Linked DNA regions of Drosophila melanogaster. The protein of the gene in region 1 interacts with the protein of each later gene in a pairwise test. Each region holds a gene or a part of one and is shown in the gene's direction. Other genes may lie near its edges.

Evidence for each region.
Region 2: the proteins of CG9590 (region 1) and Rab14 interact in a two-hybrid assay, tested with the Drosophila melanogaster proteins (one study listed by BioGRID).
Region 3: the proteins of CG9590 (region 1) and Rab2 interact in a two-hybrid assay, tested with the Drosophila melanogaster proteins (one study listed by BioGRID).

Annotation. Positions count from the first base shown.
Region 1 is NT_033777.3:15,783,034-15,790,409, forward strand, and holds CG9590 (uncharacterized protein), read left to right. Parts: upstream 1-3,669; 5' UTR 3,670-3,730; coding exon 3,731-4,725; intron 4,726-4,784; coding exon 4,785-5,172; 3' UTR 5,173-5,306; downstream 5,307-7,376. Other genes in the region: Uros2 (uroporphyrinogen III synthase 2), read left to right, coding at 5,571-6,332; c(3)G (crossover suppressor on 3 of gowen), read right to left, coding at 6,755-6,856, 6,915-7,151, 7,207-7,281, 7,347-7,376.
Region 2 is NT_033779.5:14,352,845-14,360,386, forward strand, and holds Rab14 (Rab14), read left to right. Parts: upstream 1-4,196; 5' UTR 4,197-4,363; coding exon 4,364-4,427; intron 4,428-4,436; exon of another isoform or gene 4,437-4,496; coding exon 4,497-4,610; intron 4,611-4,675; coding exon 4,676-4,856; intron 4,857-4,910; coding exon 4,911-5,093; intron 5,094-5,161; coding exon 5,162-5,339; 3' UTR 5,340-5,920; downstream 5,921-7,542. Other genes in the region: l(2)34Fd (lethal (2) 34Fd), read right to left, coding at 1-792, 853-1,574, 1,628-2,029, 2,088-2,153; Pgant35A (polypeptide N-acetylgalactosaminyltransferase 35A), read left to right, coding at 6,536-7,542.
Region 3 is NT_033778.4:6,695,108-6,703,469, forward strand, and holds Rab2 (Rab2), read left to right. Parts: upstream 1-1,631; 5' UTR 1,632-1,776; coding exon 1,777-1,822; intron 1,823-2,308; coding exon 2,309-2,468; intron 2,469-2,941; coding exon 2,942-3,278; intron 3,279-3,338; coding exon 3,339-3,437; 3' UTR 3,438-4,362; downstream 4,363-8,362. Other genes in the region: Mob4 (MOB kinase activator 4), read right to left, coding at 487-736, 785-1,158, 1,233-1,292; chk (chaski), read right to left, coding at 5,566-5,710, 5,775-6,015, 6,083-6,264, 6,706-6,815, 7,280-8,362. UniProt on the Drosophila melanogaster protein: May be involved in bidirectional endoplasmic reticulum (ER) to Golgi trafficking. Together with Rab7 involved in promoting fusion of autophagosomes and endosomes with lysosomes, probably through recruitment of the HOPS tethering complex.

The DNA of each region.
Region 1 (7,376 bases):
TATCATCCTGTGGCTTCTTCCTGTCTTAACTCGACATATGAACACATATAAATGTTTAATCCAAACGGCCACGCCCACACAAGCTGTCACGGAAGGGGGCGTAAGAGGAGGTCAGTTGAACTTTTGTAATGCCAAATCTTGGTGAGTTGACGAAAACCGAAAGAAACCGAATATCAAGGACATGGGCGATCACCGAAAACTTAATGACACTTAAAGTGAGCCAAACACAAAGTGTATATATACATATATATGTACATGTGGTACGTACAGTGTGCGACATAACGAGCTGGTTGCAGCGATGCGGAAACGCATTTTAGTGTTTTTTAATGCGAAAGCAATTCGAAAAGATTTCCTTTAAGCAAAAAAGTTCTAACGATAAGGAGGCATATTGGATTTTTGGCTCTGAAAAGGGGACGCATATTGCTTAAGAGACTGATTAGATATAACCACAATATATTCTAATATAGTTCTTATATATCTTGTTGTATAACAACTTAATACTGTTAGAAGGAACTAGTCATTAGATTTTCCAAAAGACTTGAGCAACTTAATTGCGACCTTTGAATTGCCCTGCCGTTTATAATTAACTTAATCGACTATGTTCACACTATTTCCACAAACTGAGAACGAGTCGACTGAAAGTAAGAAGCTTAGTGCACCCAGTAAATACATATATTAATACCTTTCGGCAGGTGTGATTTCCCACCAAACCAATTTAAGCAGATCATACATCGCCGTATTGGCAATAGTGTCTGATTTTGTGGGGATTATCTAAACAAGGGATGGCAATCAATTGCGAGTGCAATTGCTGCGATTAACGTTTTGCTGCCGAGTGTCGGGTCCTGAAAAGTCCTTCGGCAGTTTATATTCGACGACTGTCTATTAAGTTTTCCATTACAACTGATAGCGATCAGGACACGCCCACTCGGCAAACAGTGCAAACAGTCCCTTCCCCATCGTCCCTGCCACATGGGCACATCATATGGGGTAACTTCAAACGTAAATCGAATGAAAGGCCCAAAGTGAAAGCTAAAGACGTCAAGCCTTCCACTCCTCATCGCCTTCGTTGTGTGTGCGTGAAGGTCCTGGCAAATGCAGTCTTCGAAGTGTGCCTGAGTGTGTGTGGGTGTGGGTGTGGGTGTGAGTGCCATGACAACAATGGCATTTTGATACTTTTGTATGAGATTTAATGAAATTTGAATCCTTTTGTTGAGTGGAATAACAACGGCAAGGAAGCTGTTCTAGAGGGCGAAGAGAGAAGATGGGAAAACTGACAGGAAGCTGGTCGAAGGACGAGCAGAACAAGAAGCATTCGCCTGTGGGCAAGTTTCGTGAAAGTACACTGCAAAAAAATAAGATTCTTGCTGGTTTCAGTGATTTGAATAAAGATTTAAAGTAAAAATTTAATGAACTTTAGTTTTTAGAAAGAAAATAATAGTCTCGGAAATATCCTCCTTCAATGCCTTTATTTCTCTCAGTGCATTCAGTTTTCATGTAGTTAAAGTAACTGCGTGGCTGTGTTGGTATTTATAAGTATAGATAAATGTGTACGTTTTGGGTGTCTTACAACAATAGTAAAACAATCTTCTTAATGCACACTTTGGCCTAAAGGAATTTTTCCACTTGTAAACCGATACTCGTCGTAGGCCACCAGAGAGATATGTGTTCCGGGTCCGGATTCCATCACCATCCCGTCCCTTCAGCCGCCTCATCAGCATCGTCAATTTGGCATTGGATATACAAACATACATATACAGACTTGTGCGTATATTTACAGATGGGCCAATATATATGTATGTATGTATGCAGATATATTGACAGAGAAACATGTTAATAAACATCTGGAAGTTTGGTTTATTGTCATCGGCAATCTCTTCACAAAGAGACATCAAGTCGATGGGCATAAATTTGAAGAGACACCGAGGAGCAGACACTGAGACAATATGCTCGAGGGAACTTGCCCAAAAGGGTTCTCTTGTTTGTCCGGGGTTTTTGGGCGGAGGTATCAATAACATTGTTGTCCTGGCAAAAAGTGGATGGGTGCACAACATAGTAGCTCCTCTCCGTGATATTAGTGCCATGGCAAAGATGGCAGCCAAGGATGATGTGAGTGTGCGTTTTAGCCAGGCAGCTTCATCAATATTGTCAACTGCGGATGCTCCAGTCAACCTGGCCCACTTTCCTCTTGTTTGCCCGATAGTTTAAACCAATTTTCTAGTCTAATTCTGTGTTGCCAATACATTGTGTGGGTGTATTTTGGTTTGCACCATGGGTTTTCAAAGATACTTTTTTGGTACTTCAGCTAGGCTAAATGTTTTAACCAAAAGGATGTTGGCAAGGGCAAGATCAAAGGGCAATGTCTAAGGCTTCTTGTGGTGTGTGACATAGAGGAATATAGTTGTTTAAAAACACTAATTAATACATCTGAAAGCGTTCATTGTCGACAAATTAAAAAATATGCTTATTGATATGGAAAGTGCACTCTGAGTAGTACTTTAACTTATGACCCTGGTCCAAAATATCCCATTACCCCCTTCAGCTTAACCAGAAACTGACAATACACATTTGTCTCGACTGCCGCACATGTAAACCGATCTGCTGGCAAATTTACATTTAATTTTTGGCCAGACAAGACACAGAACATGCAATTACTACTGGCCCCAAAGAAAGGAAGGTTGCTTAAATGGGCGACTTTAAGGCAAGTTGGCCGTAAGAGACTGAGGCAAACGGAGGTGTTTTAGTTCTTAACTAACATTTTAGCGGTTTTGGCTTTTGGGTATGGCAAAGCTACCTTTTTTAGGGATTTTAATTAAAAAATTACTCATATCACCGAAGAGATGGAGATGGAGGATATGGAGCTCAAGCAGCTTTCTTGCCGTTTCTGCGTAAGATAAATTTGCCGGCTTGACGAAATATTCGTGTGGTTGCTTCATTCGGTAAAAGTCTGTGGCAGCGGCTGCCTGAAATTGTGCTGCAAGTTTATGAAAATTCCTTCTTTATGGAAAAGGTGGGTGTGCGTGTGTGTGTGTGTGCGAAAATGGTGTTGGCTTGTTAATTTTGCGCTGCTGCAGCGTTGCTGTCAAATTTATATGCTGGTTAGCTTAGCTAGCAAAACTTTTCGGTTTCTGGCCTGAAGAATGAGCATTTGTATGCGTGCTTGTGTGATTTTCTAATTTATGAGCCCAGTTAGAATTGGGACAATGTCGGCAAGCCAGAAAGTTCACCAAAAGCACTTTGACATAAAGCAGAACTCGTGCGATTCTGCTAAAGAAAAATAGCACACGGTTTGATGAAATTTAGTATTAACTAAAGTTGTATACTTAGTGTTCCCGATTTCTTAACTCCTCCGACGTCCGAGATACCTAGACTGTCCTAGCTACTTTTAAGTCCCACAGCCATACTTAAATTCTTCTTTTAGATATTCAAATATTACGAACTATAATTAGTTATAATTATTATATAAGTGTCATTAATTTAATTCATACAATCATTCATTTAATTCAAATCAATCAAAGGCAAATAGAGTAGCTAGCATTTATACCTAACAATAAACATTTCTTAAGCACAGTTTGAAAAATATTTATATTCCTATATAATATTTAAATATGCGCGCCAATTCTGACAGTGCAGCGAGTTGGCAGGTTGGCGTGTAACAGCTGTTAAGTCTGCACTGAGTTGACAGCTCTGACTCAAATCCTAAAAATCTACGTGGAGCAAAAATAAACAAATAATGGCAAAAAATCCAAAAAAGGAGGAGGACGGCGGTAACGACTGGGCCCAAAGTGACGAGGACGACAACTGGGACGATTGGGGCGATGACGATGACAAGTTCGTTCACGTGGAGAAGGAACAGCAGCCACAGGAGAAAGTCTCGAGCAGAAACGACGCAAAAGGAACGGCGGAAAATCAGGAAAAGCTGGAAACTCCCAGAATTTCTGCTCCAGCAACAGCATCCGCCACATCCTCGTCCTGGGGTCTGTGGGGCGGTAAACTGAGCTCCGTGCTAACCACCGCCACGGAGGGATTGGGCACGATAACCACCCAAGTCAACCAGGGGCTTAATCAAATCATCGGAGTGCCCGATCCCGAGGAGCTGGCTCGCATTAATGTGGCTGAAAAGGCGGAAAAGGCTGCTAAAGCGCCGCCAGAGGAAAATGTCGACGATGAAAAAGAATCTTCGGCCGCCTTTGGCTTGGACTTTGTCACCAATCTGGGCTCCAAGGTTCTCAACACCGGACTGGATACACTCGAGGGCATTGGCAAGAAGACCATGACCATCCTGCAGGACAACGATCCCAAGCTGATGAACAAGAGGAAACTGCTCGGTCTGGAGGCCAACTCGCCTAATTTGAGTGCCGTGTTGCTGGAGGCAAAGAAGGAGGCCGACCAAATGGAGCAATCCCTGCAACAGCTACAGCTGAAAAGACAGAAGGCGCAGCTGCGTTTCGAAATCCTTTTCGAAAATTACTGCGGCCTGGTGCACTTCGAGGCCCTGGAGATCCTTTCCAAGGAGTCACGCCTCAAACTGGACACCCTACTCGATGCGGTTAGTGGCAATGCCCGTGCAGAGTTGCAGGAAACGATAAACGAGGTGAAGGAACTGATCGAACTGGAGGATCTGGATGTGGAGAGTGAAGGTGACTACGAGGCGGAGGAACTGAGCGAGCGATTGGCGGCCACAATCAAGGACGCCGAGCTGGGCATTCAGTTTGACGACATAGCCAAGTAAGTTGTCGGAAACTAATATTATTTAAACATACCATAAACCCAAATCTTTTGTACAGTCACTGGACGCAGTCCCTCAGCTGGTTGACCTCAGAGGAAGCAACTGCCGCCGATCTGGAGCAAGCCTATGCTAAGAGCATCCACGCGCTGAGTGAAGCGTGCGCCCTCGAGATGTGTAAGCTGCACAAAATCGCCGAGCTGTTGCTGGTGAAGCCACATCACAGCACCGCCAACGAAGTGGATGGCGTCGTCAATCTCTGCCAGCAGTTCAATGGACACCTTCAAGGACTTAGCCACCGCTTCGCCGCCGTTCTGAGCGGCAAGTCAGAAACGGAGGAATCAAAAGGCCGGGTCAGCACATTCTTTTCCGAAATGCTATCTGCCGTGCAGTTCATCGAGAAGGCCTACAAGCTATTTACACCCATTCTCCAGATGGGAGCTGTGTAAACGGATTTAAGATTAATTGTTGTACTTTCTACTTTTACTATTGCCTGGTTAGTGTTCTCAACTCACTTGTTTTTCCATATAAATGTACAAAATTATAAATGATTGCGTTGCAAATGCTTGTGATAACATTCCCGAAATTATTGAGAAGTTTTTTCAAAGTGCAACTGAAAGTTCGGTAGCCTGCATTCGTGTTTGGTTGGATTAGAGCCACCTAATAATAGTTGGCTTCAATGTGATGAACTATTTTTAAAACCCGACTCTCGATAGGCGCGGCAATAATTTTCAGGCATTATCTATTCTATGCCCTTTCTATTCGAACTATTCTATAAATCAAACGCAAAACACGAATATCAAATTGTCCATTCTCTAGTTAAGTCCAGCAAAATTTAGTTAGAATCATGGGAGATCGCAACAAGCAGCCGGTTATTCTGCTGAAGGTTCCGTCCTCCGATGATTTCTATGGTTCGGCGTTGCGCAGCCATAACCTGGATCCCATCTTCATTACTCCCTCGCATTTTGTGTTCAAGAATCTGAAGCAATTGCAAGCCAAGTTGCATGAGCCGCACAAATATGCCGGGATTATATTTGCATCCCCGCGCTGTGTCCAAGCTGTAAACGAGGCACTAGGAAAGACACCACTTCCTAGTTGCTGGCGTGCGTTACACAATTATTCCCTAGGCAAGAACACGCACAGCGCCGCCTGGATAACATTCCAGAATCTTCCGACTCTGGGCGATCATGCCGTGAATGCAAACAATCTGTGCGATCTGATCGTGGAGACGTTTGGACCCAAGAGGGATCTGCCACTGCTCATGCCCTGCGGCAATGGCGTGGGTCAGACACTGCGCCTCCGTTTGGTCGCCCAGGGATTCCGGGTGGATGCCTGCGAAGTGTACGAGAGTCGGTCGCATCCGGATTTCGTCAATCAGATGCGGCACGCCCTCAAATTCAAGCGAATGGAAACGATTGTGTTCTTCGGACCCTCCAGTGTCCGCAGCTCCTTGGAGTTCTTTGGGAACTACAACGTTTCGCTTAAGGATCGCAAGCTGATAGCCGTGGGCAGTGGCACCAGGAAGGCAATGGAGGAATCTGGAATTAAGGCGGACGGAGTCGTGAATGCTGCTGACGTCGACCGCCTGATAAATATCATCAAAACATAGTTTAGTATCGATCATTTTACGTTTTGTTTTTACCAGTTTTTACTTTTGGTATGATTTCAAAATCTGTTTGGTGTCCTTTAAAGAAATGAGGACAAAAGTGTGTTATTAATTAAAGTGTTTCAACAAAGTACATGTAATGTTTTTATTACAAAAACTATAATCAAATAGATTGGATCTATTTGAACAAGATACTTCAAGATATGAGTTTTAATTTAACAATTAGATACAAAATGGGATTAAATAACATAAAGTAATCATGTTCTTAAAAATAGCTTGCCAGTTTCAGACAAGTTTTCAAAGAAGTACAGATGTTTAAATGATGATGGATCTGAATGAATTTCTAAGCTCAATATTCTTCCATTTTACTAAAAACAAAGTGTAAGAATTGATAATGTTGTCTGTATGTTCGTTGTACTGCTTAGTTATTTAGAATTCTTCAACATGTCGAACATATCAATATTATTTTGTGGCTTGATGGGCGCACATAATTTGGCACGTTTGCCGCTTAAAGAGTTGCCCACGATCTGTAATAAAAGTTCAATAATTTAATTTCGATTATAGGTGCAATTAACAAATACTCACTGGTATATCATCGCCGCTATCAAAGTCGGAGGAATATGTGGTAATTTTTTGACGACGAGCATTACGCTTTCTGGCAGTGCTTGAAAATTCGTCTGTATTTTCCGGTTGCACCTTAGTAGGAATGCTCTCAGTTCTGGTTGGCCCTTTGGAATCTTTTAGCTGTTTAATTGTGGTCACTGGTTGGTCGATCAGGCAGTTAATTCGATTCATTTTAAATTGTAGCACAGCCATTTCATTCTGTTGGGCAATTTTAAATATATAACATGAAATATAATGAGTCCGATAGACTTACGTTCTTTTCACGCTCAAGTTCAATCAATTCGGTTTCTTTTCTTTTAATTTCAAGCTCCAATTCGGATACCTTTTTCTATATAAAAATAATAAATCATTTTGTAGAAAAAAGGTTAATGAAAAAGAATTTATAAGTCTTACCATTAGGTTATCTTTCTGAGACTGTAATTC
Region 2 (7,542 bases), on another chromosome or scaffold:
CCCTCCAGCTGGGACATGACCCTTACGCGATCCTGCAAGCTCGCTTTTTTGATGCGCTGCTGCAGTAGACTGCTGCCTTGATGTTGATCCAAGGGGGTCATGGTGAAACGGTTGCCATTGGTGGTGGGTTGTTGGCTGTGTCCATTCGTCTGCGGTCTTTTTGCGGTATCCGAAATTTCATCCGGCTGCTGCTCGTCATCTTCTAGCTCCTCCTCTTCCTCACGTTGTCGCTTCACCTGTTTGTACGCCTGCTTCATTTCCTTGACATACTCCCTTCGGTCATCATCGTCAGATGAGGCCTCATCTCCGCTGTCATCCTTCGTTTCGCCATCGCTCTTCTCGAAGCCAAATAGGTCCTCGTCATTATCGCTTTCCTCGCGCTGCTGTGCCTCGTCCGCGTGCAACTCCGCCACATGAGCCACCTCCACGCGCTTCTTGAGTTCCTTGGCCTTGGATTTATCCAGACGGTTCAGAACAGGAGCCAGCAGACGATACTCCTCGGCAGACTTGTTAACTTCAAAGTCGGCATTCTCAAACATGGCCTTGAAACGCGAGTCCTCCAGCAGGCTGGGCACATTTCGCTGCTTGGCACTGTTGGAAGGATTGGCTTGCTCGTCCATAATCTTGAGAGCCAACTCTTTGTTGACTTTGGGCAGCTTGGATTCGATTTGCAGGCGGGACTTGCGCTCACTTTCGATTTCTTGGCGGATCTTATCTTTGCGGAAGCGGTCGAAGGCGAAGGGTTCCACAACTGCCTTGGCTTTGTTGTACAATCTTGCGTCCATAAAGTATCTGTAGAATTTTTAGGTATTAGACAAGATCTTTACCTCTTCCAATCTTTTTCAAACTTACCCGTGCATATAACCCTTAAGAAGATTGCTGCCAACGAGATGCTCCATTCCCAATTCAGCCAGCTCCTTCGCTGTGACGAACTGATAGTCATCGTACACATTCTCCACGACCTCCGATTCGATCTCCTCGGTGAGGTTATCCAAGAACGAGCACCATCGGGGTGCTGGACCCATTGCAGGCACATAATAGGTCATCATCTTAACATCCTCCTGGGCTACGAAGAACATGCCCGTGTCGGGAATGGTGCAAAAATCGTTGAATGACGAAGTCGACTCAACGTAGGCGATCTGCTTGCCTGTCTGCTCGTCCCACAGCTTCAGTGTAGCCTCGTCCAAACTATAGACGGCATTCTGAGCCGGATTAAAGGCCAGACGCTTGATGGGCAGTCGATTCAGATGATTCTTCACCAGCAACGGTTGCTTGGCGCGAATGTCGTAGATCAGCACGTGTCCCGAAGCAGTTCCCACTCCCATGTGCAAGCCGTTCCGGAATTTGAGGGCCGTGACCGATGGAAACTCCTTGACGCCCGGCAACTTCATGGCTACATCCAAAGTTGAACATCGTTGCTTGGTACGTGGATCCCAGGCTTCTACGGTGCCTTCTTTGGTACCGGCTACCAGAAGATGGTGCTCTGGATTCACTTCACAGGCGTTCAGGCAGCTGCCATCCGTTTCAAAGGGTTGCAGGAACTGACCGCGCTCCAAATTGAGTCGGAAAATGTCCTGAAATCAAATCTTTAGAATAAACTAGACATTAGATAGACCTCAGTTCTTACCCTGCCCACTCCCACGATGAACATGTCGCAGCTGGGCTTGTGGTACTTCATGTCGCGTCCAAAGCGCGGTATCCTTAGTCTGTAGTGCCGCCCGTGGGCCGCATGGATCTCCACATAGCGATCGCATTGCAGGAACACCATCTTGCTGTAGTCGTCGCTAATCACCTCAAAGGTGGTCACCTCGGCGTCGAAGCAGCGCTCGAATTTGATAGACAGGTTGGACACCTCGAAGCACTTGACGCGCGGCTTGTAAGTGCCGGTGGCCAGGATGTACTGTTGGTCGGGACTCATGCGGATGCTGGTGCAGACGCCGGGCATATCGAAGTCCTGGATGAGCTCGATCTGTCTCCGGGAGTCCACTTTTTTCATGAGCTGTGACCGCTTTCGCCGATCCGTCAGCCACTGTGAAGGAGATACTCATGAGTTAACTGCTTGGCAACGGGTTTATCTTGCTACTCACATCTGGCACCGACTTGCCGGCGCTCAGGTTGTAGATCTTCACATCGTTAACTTCGTTTACGAACATCTTGAGGGACGATTTTTGCTCAAAATTAAAACATAAACAAACGAAGTCCGCAACACGTGCGCCCTCTATCGATAGACACGATTGTCGATAGCATCTGGCTGCGATAAGCACCTATCGCGGCAGTGTGACCCTTGGCTTGCCAATTGCTCAGTGTGACCGCAGGAAACCAAGCAAAACAAGAGAACGCAAAAGCAGTGAAAAAAGACTACTGATTTGCATCGACCTACCAATTGAAAATAATCGCAATAATTGCCTCTCGGTGCAGCCCCGCAACCCCGCGAAGCCAGTGTGCGTGCTAGCACGAAAGTGAACTGCATTTTGCATCGCCAAATTGCCCAAAAATTGCAATCGAATTCCGCACAGCCAAACAACAATACGCACACATACACACAGTACCCCCCGCTCTGCGTAACCGCCCTACGTTACACATTCCGTTCGCTCCCTAAGGTGGACTAAAACTAAAGTGATCTAAAACGGTGAGTAATATTCGTTGTTTTTCCTTAAGCCAATTAAACACTGATTAAATTATGCGAAATGGAAAACCGTCTGCGAAGGGGTGACGCAGTGCAGCTGTGGGTGCTCCGCAACTTTCCCTTGTGCTCTCGCTCTCTCTTGTTTTTGTCGTTAGGCAGCAGCACTCCATTGTTGTTGTATACACCCCCTGATTGCTTTGATACCCTGCAATGGGGAGTTACTGTTTTGTGACCAAGTTAAGAAAATAAATATGATTTACAAAAATCGATTAATTCTGGGGATGTTTCAGGTTTTTATGGTGTATAATTTATTTTTTGAATTTTTAGGGGATGGTGGGGCAAAAACGGCCGCCACTCTACTTAAAAATCGGTAGGTGAGGAGTTTGTTTAGTATACGCTATAAATAAATACTCTAAATTAGTTTTTATAAGATGGATTATTATATGAGTGTATGAGTTATCATAGAAATATTTACCTGTGCTTATATATTAATTTATTATATGAATTATGCAAACAAGGTTTTTTCAAAATGTAGGCGAGCATGAATAAAAAATTATAATAAATCAGAAGTTTTCTTAGTAGTTGTTATCAGTTATTAATATATTTCTTTTTCATTTTGTTGTGTCTTATTGCGTTGTTGTCTTCAATGCGGGCTTATTTTATTAGTTTGAATGGATGTGCGCTTATTTGTAGATACTCAAATATCAAATCGTATTCAGTTATATCTTAGAAATGGAATATAAAGCGCACATTTATAAAAGTATATTTATATTTAAGATTTTTTGCCAAAGGGTATACATACTTCGTCTGTGTATAAATATATATTTCTCATACTCCTTTCGTTATTTTCCCTGTTATGGGTGCGCCGCTGTGTTCCTTTTATGAGGGGCAATGATGATCCACTTCCATTCAACACATTTTGCAAATAAGTACATATGTACTTCGCCTCCATTGATTGCTCCACTGATGTTTGGCCTTTGGCGCTTGACTGATAAGACTCGAGACCGAGACCTACTACTTAGTTAGTCTAAACTGCCCGTCATAGAGCCTATTAAACTGATATGCACTTGTCACTTTGACAAGCAATGATAAGCGATTATAACTGTATTTGATGATTTAAGTATGAGCAATTAAGAATCCATAATTGATACTCATCTTTTCACACTATATGCTGCTAAGTCACATTCTTTTGTATGAAATTCATTCATATGAAGTAAGGCAGGATGATTACCCTAAATACAAACTAACTTGATGAATAACTTCGCGCGTACTGCTCTTAATAATTGAATTCCCACGATTGCTTGCTCGGCGACCTTGATCCAAATCGCTTTCAGCTTGGGCGAAGGGTTCAATTCACTCTCTTCAGCGCCCCTTAACTGCGGACAAATCAAAGGCTTTCGAACGACACGGATACTGCGAATGGACAAAGTCAAGTGGCATGAAGTGGATATACCCGCCGCTCTTGAAGCTTGCCTCTTTCTTATTTTTTTTTTTTTTTGGCTTCAGTTGGCAGGCAAACAAACCCGGTCGGCTGTTCAAACACAAGCAGGCCTTAAAAAGAAATATCGGGGCCAGTTCGAGAAAGGGGAACAAAATGTGGTGTCGACGCAGAACAAATTAATGCAGCGCCTCGGTTTGTTGATAAGCAGCGACTACGGTTGGACATTCAAATGAGGAGCTGATAGTAGTAGTTAACACTGTTTGATTGGGTCAGAGTTCATTTCTGCCGGTGTCAAGATGAGCAAAGTGCGCAGCGTGGTGAACAAACTGCACGAACGCATAGACTACTTTATTGAAAAATGTGTGAAATATTCTATATACTCAATGACTCTGCAATGTAATAATAATAATAATTTCGCTTGCTTTTTAGGTCCCAACATGACTGCAGCGCCATACAACTACAACTATATCTTTAAATACATCATCATTGGTGACATGGGCGTGGGCAAGTCCTGCCTGCTCCACCAGTTCACCGAGAAGAAATGTGAGTAGACTGTGCTGAGTAATAATGTATGTAATAAGAACTAATCTCTACTTGCCGTCCTGCAGTCATGGCCAATTGTCCTCACACCATTGGCGTGGAGTTCGGCACACGCATCATTGAGGTGGACGACAAAAAGATCAAGCTACAGATCTGGGACACAGCGGGTCAGGAGCGATTCAGGGCAGTGACACGCTCCTATTACCGTGGAGCAGCTGGTGCGCTGATGGTCTACGATATTACCAGGCGGTAAGCGAAGCAAGCTACTATTTGAGAAATTGCTTTACAACTTGACCATTCCAGCTCCACGTACAATCACCTGAGCAGCTGGCTTACCGACACTCGCAATCTCACCAATCCCAGCACTGTGATCTTTCTCATTGGCAACAAATCGGATCTGGAGAGCACTCGGGAGGTTACCTACGAGGAGGCCAAGGAGTTTGCCGACGAGAACGGCCTAATGTTTCTCGAAGCGAGCGCTATGACGTGAGTTTCAACTGGAAGCATAGTGTTTGAGCATATACTGATTATCTTTTTTTTTATCGCCCAAACAGTGGCCAGAATGTGGAGGAGGCTTTTCTGGAGACCGCACGCAAGATTTACCAGAACATCCAGGAGGGTCGGCTCGATCTGAACGCCTCCGAGTCCGGAGTTCAGCACAGGCCATCGCAGCCGTCGCGAACTTCGCTGAGTAGCGAGGCTACGGGCGCCAAGGATCAGTGCTCGTGCTAAATGAATGATGGAACCTAACTTTACGCAAAACCTAGTTATACAAATCAACTTTTATTTTTAGCCGACTCGTAATCTACCGATGCCCAAGCAAAAACCAATGTATGTAGTTAAATAATTCGATTAAGCATCAATGTGTGAGCCAACAACAGCGACAGCAACCACAAAAAAAAAAAAAAACAGAAAAAGAAAATATAAAGTCCTTTCGCTTAATAAGACGCAAGCATTGCAACATTTATTGTATCGGTTAAGCATAAATACTAGAAAATTAAACATGTTTGTTGGCGCAAACTAAAGTTTTGACCATGAAATTTCGAAAAGTTTATCGCACTAACACCATCCTTCGGTCTCAATTTATAGATGAATTCGTTTGAGATATAGATCATGTTTTTGTTGGCTGATGAATCCCTGTATATAATATATATATGTATGAATTTTTGTATCTCCCTAATTTTTTGTTGAGTATTTGTTGTTGTCGCGTGCAAGAATTGGAGGAAACGATCAATGTTATATGAATATTTACGATGTATTAATGGCATAATGCAATAGGAAATAAATAAAATGGTATTTATAAAACCCCTACCAATAGAAATGAATTTCTCTTTCAAATAATTTAAATTTTAATTTGCATATTTAACCATTCGTTTATATTTAATTCTACACCAAATCGCTGGATAATTTTATAATTTACCGGATTTCCATTTAATAGATTTAAATTTTATAAATATTTGGGTACTTACGATTTACTTAAATATTTTGTAAAAAGCTTTTTTAATCCATTTAGTGGAATACCCTCAACTTTGACTTGCGCATAACTTCATTCTTGTTTTATTTAGTGATGCTAACGTTGGGTTGGAAATCAGCTGATTATGACTATGAACAATAAAGTTTGTAAGTCAAACAACGATTTTTCGTATACTGTTCTTTTGTTTGTTGCTGGTTGTCTAATTAATCATTTTAACTGGTTATCAGTCCAATTTTTGTTTTCTACACTACACTATTCTACACTATTTTCGATTTCCTTGAAATTTAGCGGGAAAAACTCTGAGCTAGCATCTTCGGTGGCATCGCTGTGTGCGCGCTTTTGTGCGAATGCCATGGTATGCAAATTAAATTTAATTTATTCCGATCATCATGAAAGTGACAAAGTAGCTGCTTAAGTAGCCAGGGAAGCGCACAACGTAATCTAATCTCGATCCATGATGCAAATCAAGCGCCTCCTGTGCAAATCCTGCGGCCTGGGCACCCTTCTGGTGGCGGTCGTCTGGCTGCTGGCGCTGCTTTTCTACTCGCACAGCCTGCGCAGCTCCATCCGCTCGGCAGGATGGAGGATCGACGAAGGGAACGCAACGCCACGGGCCGAGCTGAGCTACCAGGCCAGGGTCACCGTCGGATGCACTCCAAATGCCAGCATTACCACTGGCGAATCGCCGGCGGCACCCAAGCCGCCCAGTGATCCGGAGCAATTGGAACTGTTGGGTGTGGTGCGCAACAAGCAGGACAAGTACATACGCGACATTGGCTACAAGCATCACGCCTTCAACGCGCTGGTGTCCAATAACATAGGACTCTTCCGGGCGATCCCAGACACTCGGCACAAGGTGTGCGATCGCCAGGAGACCACGGAAGCGGAAAATCTGCCCCAGGCCTCCATAGTCATGTGCTTCTACAACGAGCACAAGATGACGCTGATGCGCTCGATTAAGACCGTGCTGGAACGCACGCCCAGCTACCTGCTGCGCGAGATTATTCTGGTGGATGATCACAGCGATCTTCCAGAATTGGAATTCCATTTGCACGGGGATCTGCGTGCCCGCCTGAAGTACGACAACCTGCGGTACATCAAAAACGAGCAGCGCGAGGGTCTCATTCGTTCCCGGGTCATTGGTGCACGCGAGGCCGTGGGCGATGTGCTCGTCTTCCTCGACTCGCATATCGAGGTCAATCAGCAGTGGCTGGAGCCGCTGCTGCGCCTCATCAAGTCGGAGAACGCCACTCTGGCCGTGCCCGTCATCGACCTGATCAACGCTGATACCTTTGAGTACACGCCCAGTCCACTGGTGCGCGGAGGATTCAACTGGGGCCTGCACTTCCGCTGGGAGAATCTGCCCGAGGGCACGCTCAAGGTGCCGGAGGATTTTCGCGGACCCTTCCGTTCGCCCACCATGGCCGGCGGATTGTTTGCCGTGAACAGGAAGTACTTCCA
Region 3 (8,362 bases), on another chromosome or scaffold:
GTGTTTATGTATGTACTTCTTTTATTGCAATTTCTGTTGTGTATATAGTAATTTTGTATAGTAAAGTTCACGTTTTAGTCACGTACAGCTGTGTTGGTGTTTTGGCTGCCAGTAGTCAAGGGAATTTAGTTTAGTTTACGGGGATTTGACGTGGAATCAGCCACGAGAAGGTCGTGTGCCTACATATAATTTATTAAAATAAGGAGTTAAACATAATCGTAATATAACTTGCGAAATAATTGCTGACTTAGGATCAGATGGGGCGAGCGGGTTTGAGGGGGTCTGCCCTTGTTACTTAGTTATCGTTATGTAGCTCTATGTGTATCTGACATCTAAACTACATACAAGATCTGCATTAGAGTCGGGTCCGCGTGGAATCGTTTCCCTGTCAGGGTGAGCCAACCCAACTTGCAAGCTATTGGTAAATATAAATAGATGTATGTTGAATGAGTGTTTCATGCGAGTCTGACTAATCTGGGCGGGCTCCTAAGCCTCGCTTTCGCCAGGGGCCGCGTTTTCACCCACGTTGATGGGCACGATCAGATTCTCCTTCGACATCAGATTATATTTTGTGACGAAATGCGTGAAACGGTGGCACAGATACGTCTCGGCCTCGAATTCGTCGAAAATGCGACGATGGTGAAAGTAGGCGTGCGAGAAGATGCGATACACCCGCCGACATACGGAGCCCAGCTTGGTTACCGACGACTCCTTGATGGACACCCTGGGAGAGACACTTTGCTTATTATGTGGCTAGTTCAACCATGTCGCTAAGCCTGCATACCTGCTAGGGAAGTACTTGTTGCTGTTTAGCAGACAGGCGGCACCGTCCAGCGTGTGGCGTGTGTAGTCAATGGCCGGACATTCCTTGGGCGTCTTGTGCGCGGCGCACAGGAATATCCACTGGTCAGTGGCTGTCATCTGGGTGCACGTCGACGGCGAGCACTCCTTCTGCAGCCGCACTGCCAGGCCGTTCAGCTCCATGCAGAACTGGCGCAGGTGCTCGTACTTCCACACGCCCTCATCCTGGGCTTCGGGCATGGTCAGTATGAGTTCCACGTTGCTCGGGTCGCGCTTAATCAGCTGCTGTATGTACTGCTGCACCGCCAGCGTGCTGTCCATCTCCTCCAGGGGCTCGTCGGGCCAGCGACAGAAGTCCTGAAAGGCGAAACGGAAAACGGGTCAGACGGGCCGGGCCGGGATCGTTGTTCGGACGCCATGTCATCGCTCACCTTGGATTTTGTGCCTGGCCGGTTCCTACGCAATATGGTCGAGCCGTCAGCCATCTTCATGTTTCACCCGCTCGAAGACGCGATGATCCACAACGTCTGTGCCTACGCCTTGATGAGAAAATCACTGGCAGAAACTGAATGCTAGCCTGGTCCCTGCCCCGCGGGAGTCTCCGGATGTGGGATCCCTGCACCGTAGTATGCTGAGTGTATTCTACAGGAGCTGGCACATCGCTTGACAATTAATTGGCGTTTATCCTCCAAAACACTTTGCTTTGTGCGAGAAAATTTCTGACAAATTCTACATACATACATATACCTATCGATTGGCCAGCGGCAGTGCGCATCGTTATCGATAGGGCGATTGCAGCCTTGCGGTATTTCGGTATTTCCGCCAGCCCTGGCCACAAAGTGGCCACACTGTCGCTAGCCAGTCATCATAAATACGAACAGATTGGAAAACGTACAAGAATTGCGTATTATCTGTGGCATTACGAGATCGTACTTTCTAAAAACTAGCTTACCGTAACCCCCGTCAGCTTAAAACATGTCCTACGCGTACTTGTTCAAATACATCATTATCGGAGACACAGGTGAGTGCAAGCTGCGACTTCCTTTGAAACGGAATGGCCAGTGAAAAGTTGGCCATTGTCAGGGAAACAATCTGTAATTGCAAACAACACAACAAAACAAAGGGCATCGCAGGCGTAGGGGTCGTACCCGAAAATCAAAAAATGGGGGTTTCAGGTGGTCTCAAGTGAAAAATTGATACCGTGAGATCAAAATTGCGTCGGCAGGAAAATATTCCTGGAGTCGGTGGGCCGAAGGAAAAATCAATAATACCATAACAACGCATACAGGCGTTTGCTGCTCTCAGAGTTAGTGGTGCGCGGGGAGCAGCCCACACATAAACCCTGCTGCTGACTCACCCAACCACCCCCAGTAATTGAGGGATTCCGCCCCAAAGAGCCACGGGCTTATCAGCACTCTGCTTTTCGGGATGTCCAACAGCTGTTGGCATTTTCCAGCCTGTCCCACCTTTTCCCCGCTCGCCCACTAACCCTTTTCCGTTTCCGCAGGCGTGGGCAAGTCCTGTCTGCTGCTCCAGTTCACGGACAAGCGATTCCAGCCGGTGCACGACCTGACCATTGGCGTGGAGTTCGGAGCACGCATGATCACCATCGACGGCAAGCAGATCAAGCTTCAAATCTGGGACACGGCTGGGCAGGAGGCTTTCAGGTACCCACTTCTGTTCATTTAGTGTTAATACTTAAGAAGGGATAAGTGAAAGCTCAGATTACTTCCAAAATTGAACTGAATAAATTTTTGCAAATTTCGTATCCAAAACCCCAAGTCCAAGGCGGATAATAATTCGGCTCGTTTTTTATATTAAATAAAATAATTTGAATAAAATTCTTACTTAATGATCCAAAATAATAATAATATATATATATAGAGCCTTTAGTAAAAAGGCTTAATAATTTGTATTCAAAAAATTTTATTTGCTTCATTTCGGCACATTGTTGATAGATGTTTATTTAAAAAAGTTTTAATTCTATCATTTTTAATTTTTTGTGATATAAATTTTTTATACTTTACTTAAAATTAAATAGAAGTCGTCAGACAGAAATTTAATGGGTTACTAATAATTAAATAATATAAGCACTGTCATTTATATAACTGTATTGTGACGCAAAATATTTCTTGAATAGATCTATCACACGCTCTTATTACCGCGGAGCTGCTGGCGCCTTGCTGGTGTACGACATCACGCGACGGGAGACCTTCAACCACCTGACCACCTGGCTGGAGGATGCGCGTCAGCACTCGAACTCGAACATGGTCATTATGCTGATAGGCAACAAGAGCGATTTGGATTCGCGGCGTGAGGTGAAGAAAGAGGAGGGCGAGGCCTTCGCCCGCGAGCACGGACTGGTCTTCATGGAGACTTCTGCGCGCACAGCTGCCAACGTAGAGGAGGCGTTCATAAATACGGCCAAAGAGATTTACGAGAAGATCCAGGAAGGTGTCTTCGACATCAACAATGAGGTAAGAAGGATACATTTAACTTAGAAACTTCTTGCCACTACATTATTATCTCGTTACTAGGCAAACGGCATTAAGATCGGCCAACAGCACTCCCCCACAAACCCGTCGCTCCCAGGAGCCGGAGGAGCAGCTGGAGCAGCAAACAGTGGCTGCTGCTAGGAGTAAACCGCAGATGCCCGATTGCAATTCTGGGATAGGCGCAGCCGCTTCTGTAAAAGCTACTTTAGTGACTAACTAATAGAAGGTAGTTGAAGGAACAGATTTCTTGTTTTCTATCTCAACCGTAACTAACCACGTAAACATAGCTACCACTAATCTAGCAATTGGACACTAAGCTAAATGTTAAAACCATTAAGATCAGACAGTTACAAGAAACACATCTCCTTGTTCAGCTACGTTTTATTTTACCAAAAAAAACCAAAAGGAAGAAGTAACCAGAAATAAACCAAAACAAACCACATTTGTGTACGTGAATGTCGTGCGTGATTTCTAAATTTTATAAAGTTTATTGAAACATTTTTAAATGTTTTATGCATGTATTTTGTGTATATTGAAGTTAGTTTGCTAGTTACTTCGTGTAAAATCGATAGTTATACATTGGGATTTTGACAAAATGATGTGTAATATATGAACAAAAATCAAACTGTGTGAATTTTCATTGTGATTCGATTTCAGTGAGGTCCAGCTTCGCAACGCTGCGCCACGCCCCCTTTTGCAATGGGTATCTGCTCCGCTTCTCTATACACACATACATAATTAAATATATTAATATGTTTACGTTTCCTTCTCAACGCATTTGCTTTGTCTATTTTGTTGTGCAATCCGCTTAGTCTTTATACATACACTAGAAAAAAAGTACTTTAACAAAATATACAAAACGTGAGGGCCGAAATGGGGTTATATAATTTACACAATCAACATGCATTAACCAGTGGTAACACGAAATGCTGCGATTCAATGATCAATTTAGTATTTTACGAAGTTTATATATTTAATTAACGGCGATTGCTAAGACAAAACGAAAGATACAACTGTAAACGTAAATCAAATTATTTATAATATTTGTATTTGCCCAACACAATGCGGAATAATAAATATACATACTTACTATTAATATAATTATATAAATTAAATCGGTACTTACCTTGGGTTCATTAGCGTTTAATCAAGTGATAGTTAACGACTAATTAGTTTTTTGGTGTCTAGATGAGAAGTAAAACACTAAGGCAAATTTAATGAGGCATTTAAAGTTGTAAACAACTCAACTTTTAAATGAAAAGAGGTCAGACAAATAATTACGCATTAGTGTAGTTTTAACCCTTTTTATTTAGTAAGAGGCTTTCGGTAGATAATTGTTGAATTAATGTCTTGTAAATATTATTAAATGGTGAATCCTTTTTTGTTTATGTACATATTTCCTAAAGTGTTCGGAATTAACAATTTCCACTTTCTATGTCGGCTATAGGGATATAGTGTCGCATTTACTTAATTTTTTTAAATGTGCTTACATGTTAAAACATTTTTTTACTACTGAAATATACTATTTAGAAATATTTTTGTATTTTTTTTTAATAATACTTGAACTTTTAAGATATTACATAGGTTTGTTTCTTATTTTCTGAATCTTATCTGTGTTTTGTCTAAGAAAAAGTTTGCCAAACTGCAAAAACAAGTTTTTCGCTTCAACATTAACTATTTTTTATACCCTAATTTGCTCAGTTGGTTTTTTTTAATTGGAAACTATTCGGATCCGTGACGTTTGATGTACAAACAAATGCTCCAAAGATTTTATTGTGAGTTTTAGATTGATTGAAAATGGTCACTTGTTATTGCATACGTTACATAGATTGTTGTTTATTGTATTCCCTTTAATTAATATTCGTACGAAATGTAAGGCAATTAAAACTATTTTTCTAAATTTTGTAAAGAAGACAATTGAGGGACCCGTTTGCACCTGGCAGTGATGCACTGCATTGATATTGATTGAAATTGAACAGTTTGTCTAGACAAAGATGCGGTTAGTAATTGCCCTAGTGCGGTAAGTATATGTTAGGTGTATATTGATACTTAGCTACGATTAGTCAAGTCAAGTATAGTCTTACAGGCTAGAGCTTAGGAATAGGCTTAGTTTCAGTTACAATTCTGCTCTGATTTTATGGCTGCAACACCATTTGACATAAGAAACTCGTTAACATTTAATGCTAGTCCATTATTATGCTACAGTTCGGATTTGTAGTACCTCCAGTTGCCTTCTACTTGCGGCGTTCAACAGTGCAATGTAAGTAACCTAGTGTAAAAGTTGAGCTTTTTTAGTCTCTAAGACATCACTATCACTCTCCTTAGGTGCTTTCTTTTCACAGAACTCGATCAGATACGAACAGACACCAGAGAGTGCGATAAATATTCCAGCATAATAGAAGGTGTCATCCCATCTGAAAGAGGACAACGGGTGGTCAGATAACCTGTGCACAGACTGTAGAATGCCGCCCAACTCACCTGCCCGTATACTCGTATATGACGCCTGCAATAGGGGGTCCTGCGATCATTCCAACTCCCTGAACCAGCAGCACCAGACCGTAGGCACACGTGAAATCGTCCAGATCCACAATACTGACCAGAATGCTGGGCGTAAACGAGAAGGAGCTGGCGAACGTAAATCCGAAAATAACGCACATGACCATCAGGCCCATGTAGTTGGTAATCAGCAGGGGCATGAAGAACACAGACGCTCCGCACACTGAAAAATATAATAAATAATAAATTCAATTGATAAATTGAAAATGTGACATAGTCCAAGCACTCACCCAGCATGCACAGCGAGTAGCATATATTGATGTTCATCCAGGACAGATCCCCCAGATAGCCAAGTCCTATCATGCCCACCGTTTGGGCAATGCCGACATCCGAAATCAACTCGGCACTCTGGCTCACGTCGTACTTGTATTGCTTCATGTAATCGGGAAGGTACAGATAGGGGATAATGAACCTGTGGAGCGTGCCAAAAAGTAGATTAGCCGCTGATTGAGCAGAGGAGCCTTATCTGGTCAATGTTGAGGAGTTAGCATTGATTTCAACTAGTTTTCTTATCGATCTATTAGGGCACTCGGACTCCGCAGTCGTGGGGTAAGATAAACCATGATCTTGAACAGCTAAGGGGGCCTACTAACTGAGCTGATCGATAACGTTGTGCTTGGAATTTCACCGCTGTTGGCCAACAATATTGTTGTGCAACGCTTTTCGTTTTCGAACAGCTGCCAAAATTGTTTGCGACGTCTTCTGGCAAAATAAACAAATTCACGCGACGGCTTGGCACATTTGTCTATTAATTTTAGCATTTATTGCGCCTTGAGTTCATGCACAGCTTGGGGCCTTTGCCAATGAAATTGTTTTTTTTTTTTTTTTATTAATATCACCAAAGAGTACTCACCAAATGAACAAAAACAATGTAGAGAGATTGAAGAGGGCGAACTTCATGTCCAGAAAGAGTGAAAAGTCAAAGATGGACTTCATGGTGTCCACAAAGTTGTCATACCAGGTCTATCGAAAGAGAAAGGATATTTAATTATTATTGTTCCATTAAATCTAAGCAACACTGAGGATACGATTATTTTTGATTTTGATTGTTTACCACTGCTTTTATCTCTACTTGAAAATTAATTAATACAAAATGTACTTTTAAAACGATTTAAAGGACTATCGCAAAAATCGAGTAAGTGTGTTTAGTCAAGACATTCATTACAAAATAATAATAGTTGTGAGTTGTTAACTAAACTATCAAGAGATTATCATCTTTCAAGGTACCAATAACTGGCTCGGTTTCTTGCGTAGGCAGAACGGAAATCGGAGCGGTCACCTTATCAGCCCTAAAAAGTATGTATATGTGGTCCAACTAGGCGACCAAACAGAGAGGCAGCTGATAAACAGCTTTGAGCATTAACCAGCTGGGGCTGTCGCCAAGCGACCGGCTGATAAGGGCGGACCAAGGGTCACGGTCTACTCACATCTTCCTCCTCTTTGGCGATGGTGGTCATCGAGTTGCGGTAGATGTTGGGACAGGAGGAGGCGCGCAGCCGGTAGCGGTGCGTGTTCAGCATGGCCCCGCGGTAGTGGATCGAGTTGCGGTGAATGCGCATATCCTTAAGGAAGTTGGAGTTCCGGATCGAGATGTTGCGGCGGAGGTTCGATCGGTGGTGGCTGGGCTTCTTGGAGCGCGACAGCCGGCGGATTCCCGTGATGCTGTCCAGGCGTGCGCGACGGGTGGCCAGCTCGCTGTTCACCGACTGCTCCTGTTCCGGAATGGCGATGACGGTGGGCCTGATGCGCCTGCTCGGCTCCAGCAATGCGAAGGTCTCGTCCTTCGAGTAGTAGCAGTGCATGTCCTCGCTCAAGATGTCCACCGAATTGTGTCGCAGGCCATTCACCTTTAGGTTGGAGATTGATGGTGTTGTATGCTTGGCCATGAAGATGTTTTCGTTAAGCGAGTACCGGGAGCTGGCGTGCTTCTGCGTAAGGTAGCCTTCGTCCGAGGAGCGGAGCGAGCCATTGGGAGTCCTACCAGTGGAGCGCTTTTCCGATGGAGACAGCGTCTCGATGGAGGCCAGATAGGCCTTCTTTGCTTCCTCTGCCGCCTCGTGAGCTATTCCGCCCATTAGGGTATCATCTGGCGAGCCTATAACGGCCGTCGATGGGGGATAGGCACCTGCTCCTGAGGACATGGACAGCAGGTTCTCTCGTGACGGCGCCTCCTCACCCTCCTTGTGGCGTAGGGAGCGTCGGCTCAGGCTCTTAACCTCGCAGATGCTGTCAAGCTCCTGAGTGCTCAGGAAGGTGGGCAGGAAGATCTCGCTGCGGTAGCGCTTGAGAGCGGAGTCCAACGGATCGTCAATCTGCTGGTTGGCCTCCGTGTTGTTCTTGGTCACCAACGAGTCTAGCACAGCCTCCTTTGTGATGCCGGTGTCCAGCAGCTTTTTTATTTCCTCCAGGCAGACACTGGAGTTCGAGAAGGTGGTGACGCTTTGGGATCGACTCTCTAGACGGTTTTCCTCGATCAGCCAGTCGGGATCGCGCATGAGGGCGCCGCAAAC